Linked DNA regions of Rattus norvegicus. The main gene of each other region encodes a partner of the protein of the gene in region 3 in a complex. Links are inferred from orthologs where the notes say so. Each region holds a gene or a part of one and is shown on either strand. Other genes may lie near its edges. The genes, in order: Ren, Anpep and Agt.

Evidence for each region.
Region 1: the proteins of Agt (region 3) and Ren are in contact, whole or in part, in a crystal structure (PDB 6I3F), measured with the Homo sapiens proteins. The link is inferred for Rattus norvegicus from reciprocal best matches to the Homo sapiens genes AGT and REN. Residues at the interface, in NP_001369746.2 of Homo sapiens: Asp25, Tyr28, Ile29, His30, Pro31, Phe32, His33, Leu34, Val35, Ile36, His37, Asn38, Glu39, Lys91, Leu92, Ala95, Met96, Met99, Leu100, Phe103, Arg107, Arg148, Ala151, Ile152, Gly154, Gln353, Gln354, Asn355, Asn358, Glu391; in NP_000528.1 of Homo sapiens: Tyr81, Met82, Thr84, Gln85, Val102, Asp104, Gly106, Ser107, Asn109, Ser118, Arg119, Leu120, Tyr121, Thr122, Val125, Tyr126, Leu147, Arg148, Tyr149, Ser150, Pro181, Ala182, Leu183, Pro184, Met186, Leu187, Ala188, Glu189, Phe190, Val193.
Region 2: the proteins of Agt (region 3) and Anpep are in contact, whole or in part, in a crystal structure (PDB 4FYS), measured with the Homo sapiens proteins. The link is inferred for Rattus norvegicus from reciprocal best matches to the Homo sapiens genes AGT and ANPEP. Residues at the interface, in NP_001369746.2 of Homo sapiens: Val27, Tyr28, Ile29, His30, Pro31, Phe32; in NP_001141.2 of Homo sapiens: Gln211, Gln213, Ala351, Gly352, Ala353, Met354, Glu355, Arg381, Val385, His388, Glu389, His392, Glu411, Glu418, Asn438, Arg442, Phe472, Tyr477, Ile864, Phe896, Ser897, Asn900, Gln903, Ala904, Arg907.

What each region holds. Positions count from the first base shown.
Region 1 is NC_086031.1:47,354,701-47,358,345, forward strand, and holds part of Ren (renin precursor), read left to right. Parts: intron 1-690; coding exon 691-887; intron 888-2,816; coding exon 2,817-2,936; intron 2,937-3,312; coding exon 3,313-3,457; intron 3,458-3,645. UniProt on the Homo sapiens protein: Renin is a highly specific endopeptidase, whose only known function is to generate angiotensin I from angiotensinogen in the plasma, initiating a cascade of reactions that produce an elevation of blood pressure and increased sodium retention by the kidney.
Region 2 is NC_086019.1:143,188,331-143,191,975, forward strand, and holds part of Anpep (aminopeptidase N), read right to left. Parts: intron 3,504-3,645; coding exon 3,390-3,503; intron 3,296-3,389; coding exon 3,152-3,295; intron 3,003-3,151; coding exon 2,937-3,002; intron 2,853-2,936; coding exon 2,787-2,852; intron 955-2,786; coding exon 779-954; intron 591-778; coding exon 517-590; intron 1-516. UniProt on the Homo sapiens protein: Broad specificity aminopeptidase which plays a role in the final digestion of peptides generated from hydrolysis of proteins by gastric and pancreatic proteases.
Region 3 is NC_086037.1:69,428,249-69,431,893, reverse strand, and holds part of Agt (angiotensinogen precursor), read left to right. Parts: intron 1-1,821; exon of another isoform or gene 1,822-2,467; coding exon 2,468-2,735; exon of another isoform or gene 2,736-3,645. UniProt on the Homo sapiens protein: Essential component of the renin-angiotensin system (RAS), a potent regulator of blood pressure, body fluid and electrolyte homeostasis.

The DNA.
Region 1 (3,645 bases), on a different chromosome or scaffold from region 3:
CCAGCGCCCCCTGGAGCCTGGGAGGTTGAAGTGCAACCTCTTTGGCAGCTTCCAGTAGAGCAAACTGGCTGACACTGATGGACATGGACAAGGCTTTACGTTAACGTACATGTGGGTGTACCTAAAGCCCAGTTTCCTTCCTAGTAACCTGTCAGACTTTGCTAGTTGAGAGCAGGCTTGGAGCATTGAAATTAGGAACCAGGGTTTTGTGGCAGGGCGATTTTGCTTTCTTTCAGTCAGTGCCTAAGCCTTCGCTGCTCTGGCGTCTCTCAGCCCTGCTGTGCCAGAGGTAGGAAGAGACACATATAGGAGCCCAGAGGAAATCAGTGCAAGCCCTTCCCTCTCCCCATGCCTGTGGAATCTGGGGGAGGGGCAGAAAGGGAAGCCCTGGTTATAGTGAGGAAATCCTCAGCCTTGGCTGGTAGGGCTAGCATGAAAGTAGGCCTCGGGGAAGGTGCAGATCACCTGTCTGGCAGGACCTCTTTCTCAGCCCTTATAGCACTAGTCACCCCCCTCTTTCTGGCCCCCAAGCATAGAGGTGTTGAGACAGTGTGTGCACATTTGGCGAGATAGTCTCACCTTCACGGCTGTACAGAACCTGTATCCCTGGGGCCCCTGGTGTGAAAGCCAGAGCAGATCCCAGCCAAGGTTGGGCAGTAACCTCTGTCCCTTATGTTTCTTCTCTCACAGGTGGGTGGAATCATTGTGACACAGACCTTTGGAGAGGTCACCGAGCTGCCCCTGATACCCTTCATGCTGGCCAAGTTTGACGGGGTTCTGGGCATGGGCTTCCCTGCTCAGGCTGTTGATGGAGTCATCCCTGTCTTCGACCACATTCTCTCCCAGAGGGTGCTAAAGGAGGAAGTGTTTTCTGTCTACTACAGCAGGTGGGCCTTTGACTTCAAGGTCAGGGCAGGGAGGGGAGGACAGCTGGGAGGACGGCAAAAGTCCAGTCCAGGATTTACATGCTCCTGATTAGGTGGTCCTCAATCCATATCTAGAACCACACTAGCCAATTAAAATGAATGCAAGTCAAACATTCGGTCCTGAGGGACTGGCCACACAGACACGGCTGGCTTCATGTCTTTGCTGGCACCTTTATCTGTCCTCTCATTGATCCGCTCTGTGCTCTGTTTCCATGCTCTGTGGTGGGCTCCAGGGGTGCACAGTCCACAAGACAATCCCTACCCTCCATCCTCATAGATCTTACTGCCCAGCAGGGGAGACGAGAAATACAGTACAGTGAGTGTCATTCTGAAGCTGCAGATGGTTTTTCAATTCTAGGCCAGGATTCTGGGCAGTTCAGCCAGCTTTGGAGAAGCTGTGGTCAGTGCCCCAGCGGGGCTGGGATCTGCTGCCACAGGCCGGGTTTAGAAAGATGGTCTGAGCTGGAGGTAAAATCATTACTGGTAAGAATAGAGGCCAGGGGTGGCGAGACTGGAAGGGAGGAGTAGACTAGAACAATCTCAGAGGAAGCAGGAATTTCTGGATCATGGCTCCGGCAGATTTCTGTGCAAAGAGAGGCATTGAGCAAATGACACCTCCCGGAGTCTCCTGCGGTCAGTGGTCTTGGGGTTGTGCTTCAAAGAGACCAGAAAAACAAAGTGGCTAAGAGTGAAAGTAGATGTCAGAAAGAGGTGTCGGGGGGTGGGGGAGCAAGTCCACAAAATGTGGACTGCTCTGGAAAATTCAACAAAGAAGGAGATGTGGGGCAGGGTGTGCGGTGAGATCCAGAGAGAAGAAGGAGGGTGTTCTAAACGCTAGAGGATGCTTGAGTAATGCTGTGGGTAGAAAAGCCATGGGAAGACTAAAATGTGGGGAGCACATGCATGGGGCTCTGGAACAGGACCACAGAAGGAATGAGGCTCCAGCACAGGTAGCAAGCAGGCCTGGTAAGCAGGGGCCCTCTTCCCTTCCCTTGGGCTGAGAAGCAGGAAGACCTAGATAAGTCACTGACTCTTGCACAGAACATGCACAACCTACCACATGTACACATGTGCACATACATGCGTGTATGTTGTGCACATACGTGTGTGTGTGTGTGTGTGTGTGTGTGTGTTTCGAATTCTAAGAAACTCCTTCATATATACACGAGTACCTTAAAAACCAGTCCGAGGCAGGCCTGGGCTGAAGTAGCATGATGCATGTGGAGAGGAAAGTGAGGGCAGTCAGCTTTGACTGAGAATGAGAGTGTGGCCCCAGCCATCGTGTGTCCACCAGGGTCTCACCATCTGGTGACTCAATTGCCTGGAGGGCAAAAATTAGCCTCTACTTCTAAACAACAGGGTTGCTGAATCTTGCCTAAGAAGAAGGTCTCCCTTCTGTGTCCCTCTTTGCCTCAGCAGAAATCTTAAGGAGAGAGGAGCCCCAATGGGGCCCCAAGCTCCACTATTTCCCAGACCCTTATCCCAGAATCATACCCACCCTCCCACACATCCACTCATCAGACCCAGCTCCACTAAAGATCTGCCTTCTTCCCTCTACACACTCTAGTCATGTCTGCCTTCTCCCCAGAGTCTGCCCCACACACCCGAGAAAGGCACAATTTACCGCCATTTGCATCTACCCAGTGTCCTTGAACTAGATGGTTTTCTGGGGGGCAGTCGGACAGTCCTAGAAATACTTCGGTTACATTAAGGGAGGGGCCAGCATGGGGAGAAGCAACAGGGTCTATGTGTCTCCTGATGACAGCTTACGACCTTGCCATCTACCCACAGAACCCTTCCTCTGCCCCAAAACCCGCCTGCACCAGACTGGACTTTCCCTCATCCCCTAGTCTCCAGTGTGTCTCTAAGCTTCGCCGCTCTTTCCTTTAGGGAGTCCCACCTGCTGGGGGGCGAAGTGGTGCTGGGAGGCAGTGACCCTCAACATTACCAGGGCAACTTTCACTACGTGAGCATCAGCAAGGCCGGCTCCTGGCAGATCACCATGAAGGGGTCAGCAGTTGTAACCCTTCCAACCATCCAAATGCATGTCACCATGTGATCGGGGCAGGATGGGGATGGGACAGGGGGGCCACCCCTTAAGGCACAGCCACCATCTGCTTTCTGTGTGCTCTGTCCAGGATCGGGGCATGAAGATTTGAGGGTGGGACTGGGATGGAAGGGACTCAGGGAAAGGAGGTGGAGTCTGGAGGCTACCGTGTTGATGGCAAGGAACAGTCAGTACCTTTCTTTAGTGCCTCAGCCCTCCTCCAGGTCACCACCAGAACACTTATATGGCCTCCCATCACTCCCTAAATTGGGAAAGGCATGCAGCCGGGGGTGAGGATGGAGGTGGGGTCTGTTGCCTGTCTAACTGTAGCCTCCACAGGGTCTCTGTGGGGCCTGCCACCTTGTTGTGTGAGGAGGGCTGTATGGCAGTGGTGGACACTGGCACATCCTATATCTCGGGCCCTACCAGCTCCCTGCAGTTGATCATGCAAGCCCTGGGAGTCAAAGAGAAGAGAGCAAATAATGTAAGAGAGCTGGGTGGCGTCAAAGGGCGGGCGGCGGTGGTGAGGGGTGGTGGCAACAGCACCATCTGGCTCCAGCCTGCAAACTGTCCAGACCACACTGGGTCCGAAACAAAGCCTTCCCCTCCTCACCTCTCCCACTCCCTGAATGTACGGTATGTCTCCCATAGAAGGTGACCAGGGACTGTGTC
Region 2 (3,645 bases), on a different chromosome or scaffold from region 3:
ATCTTGCCTAGCCAGTTTCCACTGGTACCCTGCATGTGACACAGTTCACTTTCTGGGCCTTTGCATGGAAGTGACCCCCTCGCTCCTGGCTCAGCACTCCGGTCACCCCAGCCAGACTCTACCGTCGACCGTTAGAGGGTCCCTGGATGTTTCTGACTGCATGCCTTCCTTCACCTGCTTCTGAGCGACTGGCCTTTGTCTCTGACTCCCCTCAGTATCTGGTCCCATAAGGCAGCTCCTTGTACCTGCCAATCACTGTCCTGAGCATTTTACTAGAAATCTCTCCTATCATTCTCTCACCACTCAAAGGAGCAGGAAGACCAGAGGGGAATGGTAGCTTGCCTGAGACCACAAAGAAGCAAGGTGACCATTGGAAACGAAGATAACAGCTCCATTTGTTGAGTGAAATAATGAAGGGAATCTTCACTCAGCTCTCCCCAAACCCACAACCCCACCCCACCCCACTCCCCGAAGAACACGGGCCAAGAGCCAGCAGATAAGATGGGGCTAGGTTACTTTTCTCGGTCTCCAGCCAGTAGTGATCCTCCTTTCCATTTTTGAGATACGGAATGGGCACAATCCAGAGGTAACTGCAGTGAGAGACCATGACCCAGAGTGATGATGGGTAACTCTTGGGCACGCCAGCCTAAGGTACCCCTCTCAGGTGCCCACTGACCGCCCAACACTGATACCAAATGTCACTGAGCTCCTAACCGTACACACTCACCTCCCTTGTGTCCCACCCTTCCCAGGGACCCTGGTGGCATTATCTGCTCACTTAAAATCTGAGGGGCGGGTAGGTTTGGAAGTGGGGTCCAGGAGGAAGTGTTCCTGGTAGATTTCTCCCGTACTGGTGTTCACAGTGATAACAGGAAAACCCATCTGTAGAATCCATCGGTCCATGATGGTGCTCACTGAGGCTGGGAGTTTGATAGCTGTCTGACTGTCCACTGCCTGTTCAGGGGACACAGTGTGGCTGTCAAACCACTATCCTCCCACACCCAGGCAGCCTCTGCGGATTCTGGCCAGCCTAGGAGTGTGGTGTCACTAATTCAGGGAAGTGGGGCAGAGGATAAGGGAGCCTGTCTAGCTCTGTCTCTCCTGGTCTGCCCAGAGCTGGGTGAGCTGAGCTGCAGAACCTCTTGGCTTCTAGCTAGTTTCATTGTTGGCACACCTGTATGTGGCCCCCAGATATGGCCCATGCCTAGGGCACTTTCTGAATGTTTAGAGATGAGAAGAACAAAGAGGAGACAAAACGTTGCCCGAGGTCACAGGCAGGAGCAAGGGAAAGGGCTGTGGGTCTGAAAAGGGCTGTGGGTCTGGAGGCAAAGTACCCCCGGTAGAAGAGAATGGGATGCCAAAGCCCTTGTTACTGTCCACTCAGGTCTATCTCATCGTTTCCAAACGCTTGGGCAGTACTTTTGTAATCACAGCAAAAAGCCAGTGGCATCTGCTAGTAACTGAAGCTGTGAACCCCTGAAAGCTGGGCAGAAGAGAAGCTGTCAGTAAGCAAAGTTCGGGGTGGGGGGGGGCAGTAGATGGGGAAGGGAAGGAGGTAAGCTTTGGTGGAGGGCAGGAAGGCAGGTGGTAGAGGAAGGATCCCAGAAGGCGCCACCCAGTCAACTGCCAATCAGGGTGGAGAGGTTGGGTCTGCAGATGGGGTGAGGGGGAGGGGAAGGGGTGGGGTTAGGGGGTCGTGATCTTGAGACTAGGTCCTGCCCAGTTGTGACTCTGTGACATCCCCTGCCCAGTGAGATGGCCTCGGGGGCCCAGAAAGACACAATAGAGCAGCCAGGGAGTTGTTGGACAGGATGTCAAGGCCCTAGGACTCTTGGAAGAGTAAGGATGGAGGAGAGGTAGGCTAGGCAGAGGAAGAGTGGGCAAAGTCTGTAGAGAAGACTGGAGGGCACGGAGGGGGAGGGGAGACAAAGTGACAGGGGCTCATGGGAAGGGTGGACTCCAGCCTGAAAGAGAGGCAGGACAGAGAGCAGCCTCTGGGCAAGGCAGGAGGGCTTGGAATGTGAGGAAGCTGGCACAGAGGGTCAGAGTCTGCATCCATTGTGCTGGTGTGTGCAAGGATGTGCCAGGTAGGGAAGGCCACGGGGCACAGGGCAGCTGGGAGGGGTGAGTCAGTTAAATGGCTGGTTCCAAAGTTCTGGCAGAGGAAAGCAAAAAAGGAGGAGGAGAAAGAAGAGGAAGGGGATAGAGGAGTAGTCTGGTGTAGGAGCCCTGAGGCTCATATTCTCAGTGCTAAGTGACCCACAAGGCTCACCGCGGTGCAGCTAAGCAAGAACCCGAAGTGGGTCAGCTCTGGTGGTGCAGGTGCTAGGATATGCTGAGGAGGGAGAGGCAGGCGGATCTCTGGGTTCGAGGCCAGCCTGGTCTACAGGATAAGTTCCAACAGCCGGAGCTATACAGTGAGAGCTTGTCTCAACAAAACAAAAGAAAAAGCTGGATGTCTTGGCGTGCATCTATAATACCAGCAGTCCCTCCTAAGGGAAGATGGGGAGTGTTCATGCAGAGAAACAAGGTATCCCCTGCCTCAGAAACAAGATGGGAGAAGCAACTGAAGAGAACCCTTTTAAAAAAATAAGGAAAAGGTGAGCTAGGAGCAGGGTTCTTACCCACCCTCTTTATGGATCCATCTTTATACCCATTTTATAGATGAGCCACTGAGGCTCCCGACAGTTTGCCAGGATTACTGAATGCAACAGCTGGGTACAGTCTCTCACATGCTGTCCCCAGGGACTTTGGGCCTTAGGACCTGAATGGAAAAGGCTTGTTACCTGCTGAAGGTGTTCCCACAGGTCCAGATAAATGGTGTTCGAGTATTGGAAGGTGTGGAGGTAAGACTGTGGAGATAACAGACCTTGGTAAGGGCTGGGTTATGCTGGGGGAAACCACCATGCAGAGGCCCTGCCTGGAGCTATACTCACCGAAAGGCCCTTCTTGAACAGGTCCTCTGTCAGGAAGCTGGACAACATCCTAAGGACTGAGGCTCCCTGGGGTTGGATGAGAGAGATCAGCAGGCCAAGCTGGCTACCAGGGGAAGCATTCCCAGAGTGGCAGCTGTGATGAGGCTCCCTGTGGGATGTATCCCTTCCCACCCCAACTCCACGACTCCCAGGGCCCCCAAGAAGCCAGGAGGCACCTTGCTGTAGGTGATGCTGTCAAACAGCTCACTGATCTGGGCTGGCGTGTTGACCTCGTTGGCAGGGCTGGACAACGGGTGGGAGGAAGCGAGCGCGTCCACGGCCATCACACGGTACACATCATTCAGTACTATGAGGTCTTTCTGTGGAGTCCCCAGATACCATCAGGAGACCAGAAGGGGTGTCATAGACACTCCGGTCTTCCACTTCGGCCCCACTCCCACAATGGAGTCTCACCAGATTCCAGGTGGGCTCTGCATAGTCAGCACCCAGAAATTCCACATAGGAGGCAAAGCCCTCGTTCAGCCACAGGTCATTCCACCAATCCACGGTCACCAGGTTGCCAAACCACTGCAGGGGACACAGGCGAGCCTTTGAGCCTCACAGGCCTTGCCGTCACTAATGGCACATAGCCATGCACTGGCTGTGTACTGACACAGGCCAGGTGAGGACTTGACATCCCAAGGTCTTTGCTCCTTCTTGGTTCTCCCAC
Region 3 (3,645 bases):
CAAGATGGCATGGCCCTGCCCAACTGCCCTTCTGGGCTGGGTGATGCTCTTGAGGCTAGAGTGGCTGACCCACGCAGGAATACCCAGCTTACTCCCTCCCTCACACGGGGAGCTGCCGTATATCCCTGTCTGAGAAGTTGCCCATCTGTTCTATGGCCTCTTACTACTTGTAAACCAGGCAGAGGGCTCTGAGGGGCAGGAGATCCTGACCCTCCTGGTTTCTCAAGAGACGTCAGCAAGTATGGAGACACCCCCCCCCCCCGAGCAAATGCCTGGGGCAGTACTGCAGGGAACAGCACTAACTGAAGAGGAAGGGAATGAGTTGTAACAGGCTGGAGAAGGCCACAGGCAGACATCCTTGCAAAGCCTTGGGAGACCAGGTTAGGAGTGTGCAGGGGCTGGGCTCAGAGAGGGCAGACCTTGGGAGGATGCTCTTTTTCCAGTGGGCTGAGGGGGACAGTTTTATTCCTAGGACATTGGACCTTGGCCCACAACAGCATGGCAGGTGTGTGTGTGTGTGTGTGTGTGTGTGTGTGTGTGTGTGTGTGTGTATGTGCAGGGTGTGCAGTGGTCCAGGGACACCATCCTGAGAACATGTGCCAGGGCCCCAGGTCTTCAGATTGATGGTTACTAGGGGAGGGGTGACCAATGGGGCCAGCAGCAGGGAGACATCACAGTCTGGGGTAGATGTAGAAGGATCAGGGATGACTGGGCCACTCTGACAATATCTTTGCAGCCTATAAATTCATGTGGGGAAAGACCTTGGCCTGCTTTGAGACTGGGAAAGGTGTGGGGGGTAGAATGTGGACGGAAAGAGGTAACCCTGAGGCTGGTGGAGGGTGGCTACACCCATGTGAGTCGGAAAGGAACCCGGAACTGAGCCACAGTCCCTGTGGGAAACCCTGGGAGGACTATCACTGAGAAAGGAGCACTTCTACAGGGCATCAGTGTCAGTGATGGCTTGCTGTAGAGAATGCCTGTTTTCACACCCCAGACTCTGGAGCCAGCAGGGAACAGAGGAGGGCGAAGGGAAGGAGTGGAGGAGGGGGGGGGAGAGGGAGGTGAGGAGGGAGGGGGAGAGGAGTGAGAACAGGAACGGGAAGGAGGAGGAATGGGAGGAAGAAAAGCAGAGGAAGGGGAAGGAGAAGGAAAAGAGGAGGAGTGGGAAGAGGGGAAGGAGGATTGGGGGAGGGAGGGAGAGGAGGAATGGGAGGAGGAAAAGAGGAGAATGGCAGGAGGAAGGGGGAATAAGGGGAGGAGGAAGAGGAGAAAGAGGAAAGGGAGGGGGAAGTGGAGGAAGAGGAAAAAGAGGGTGGGAAAATGAAGGAAGAGGAAGAGAGGGAGAGGGAAGAAAAGAAAAAAGGAGACGAGGAAGGAAAAGAGGAGAGGTTGGGGGTGGGGCAAAAAATGAGTTGTGCCAGCACTCAGAGGCCTGGATGCTCACTTGTACTCTGTCCTGATCTCACTGCTGTTTGGCCTTTCCTGCCCATCTCCATCCGCCAGAGGCTTGTCCTCTTCCTCACACCCATGAGGCTGCAGACTGCCTCACAAACTCCAGGTCCCCTTAGCAATAGCATTGGGGACAGTTAAGCATTTGTATCTAGCGAAGCCTCAAGGCCTTGGGCTCGTGGTCTCTACAGTGTTCTTTGCCCAGTACTTGATGTCTCCAGAGCTTGAATAGCCCTGGTGGGTTCCATGACACTAAGGGACATGACCAGGGGAAGTTTACTCAGTCCATAATAGGACTGCTGAACAGGGAAGGATCCGGGGAGCATAGGGAGAACAGGAAACAGACAGCTTCACATCTCTCTCAAAGCCTTGTCCTGTTTCACATTTCTCATTTCTTTTTTCTTCATTTATTTATTATGTATAGAGTTCTGCCTGCAGGTACACTTGCACACCAGAAGGGGGCATCAGTTCCCATTACAGATGGTTGTGAACCACCATGTGGTTGCTGGGATTTGAACTCAGGACCTCTGGAAGAGCAGTCAGTGCTCCTAACCGCTGAGTCATTTCTCCAGCCCAATGCCTGGCTCTTACGAGGGACTGGGGCTGTAGGTGCAGGTCATCAGGCCTATAGAGCCAAGTTACCATGGAGCCATCTCTCCAGACCATAATAATGTCTGAGGTTCTAAAGAGTGAGTTTGCAAACCAGAACAGGTCTGGGTTGAGCTTGTCTGTTCAGGTAGGAGCAGACTGAGTCCCTCGGGTGTCCCATGTGAGACCTCAGACTCCACACCAACATGGGCTGTGTTTTTTGCTGCTCTTGGGGTCTCTGCAGGGAACTCAAGTGGCTACAATTAGAAGTAGCATCAGAGAGCACCTGAAGGTGACATCTCCAGGTCAGTACAGCATCACAGAGGGAGTAGAGGTGAGGAAGCTGAGGCAGGAGCCAGGGTGGAAGAGTCCCAGCCCTGCCTCCCCATCCTACCCCCGTTGAGTTTCCTTTGGTCTCTGTTGCTTTCAGGGAAGATGAGAGGCTTCTCCCAGCTGACTGGGCTCCATGAGTTCTGGGTGGACAACAGCACCTCAGTGTCTGTGCCCATGCTCTCGGGCACTGGCAACTTCCAGCACTGGAGTGACGCCCAGAACAACTTCTCCGTGACACGCGTGCCCCTGGGTGAGAGTGTCACCCTGCTGCTGATCCAGCCCCAGTGCGCCTCAGATCTCGACAGGGTGGAGGTCCTCGTCTTCCAGCACGACTTCCTGACTTGGATAAAGAACCCGCCTCCTCGGTAGGAAGCATGTGGGACCCTTGGGAAGTAGATTTGCATCCAATGCACGCTCACACGTCAGCCTGTCCAGGTCTGTCCTGTCACCACCCCTCCCACATCCTGCCATCGGGAGCAGTGTGGTTGCGGGTATGGCTGTTATCTGTGAGGTTACGGATACTACCTTCCTCCACGGGGAGGCAAGGACCCAACTGGGGCTGTTTTTAGGGTTAATATTTGCTGCAAGGAAGCATCGTGACCAAAATGCAAGTTGGGGAGGAAAGGGTTTATCTGGTTTACACTTCTAGATCATAGCCCATCACTGAAGGAAGACAAGACGGGAACTCAAACGGCAGGAACCTGGGAGCAGGAGCTGATGCAGAGGCCATGGAGGGGCGCTGTTCACTGACTTGTTCCTCCTGGCTTGGCCAGCCTGCTTTATTATAGAAACAGGACCACCATTCCAGGGTGGAACCACCCACTATGGGCTGGCCCCTCCCCCCATCAATCATTAATTAAGAAAATGCCCTACAGGCCTGCCTACAGCCTGATCTTAAAGGAGGCGCTCTCTTAGTTGAGACTCTAGCTTGTGTCAAGTTGACATAAAACTATCCAGCAGGGGTGGGCACTATCTCATTAGCATTTTGGTTTTTAGAGAGCATCTAGAGTTTGTGGTAATTCCCCCACCTCTGCTTCTCAAGCGCCTGGATGATAGGGTTGAGGTGCTCTGTCTGTCAGGCTAATAGCCAGTTACTCAAAAGCATCTTTGGCTTTTCCAGGGAAGGTGTTCCTCACGCAGCCGGGCTGAGAACGAAGGGCAGACAGCTGCCCACCAGCCCCGAGCTCTCCACAGTAGATGTTCCAGGTTCTCCTCCTGTTTCAGGAGGTTTTGTTGTGTTTGTTTCCAAGAAGTTCCTTGGGGTGACAACGTCCT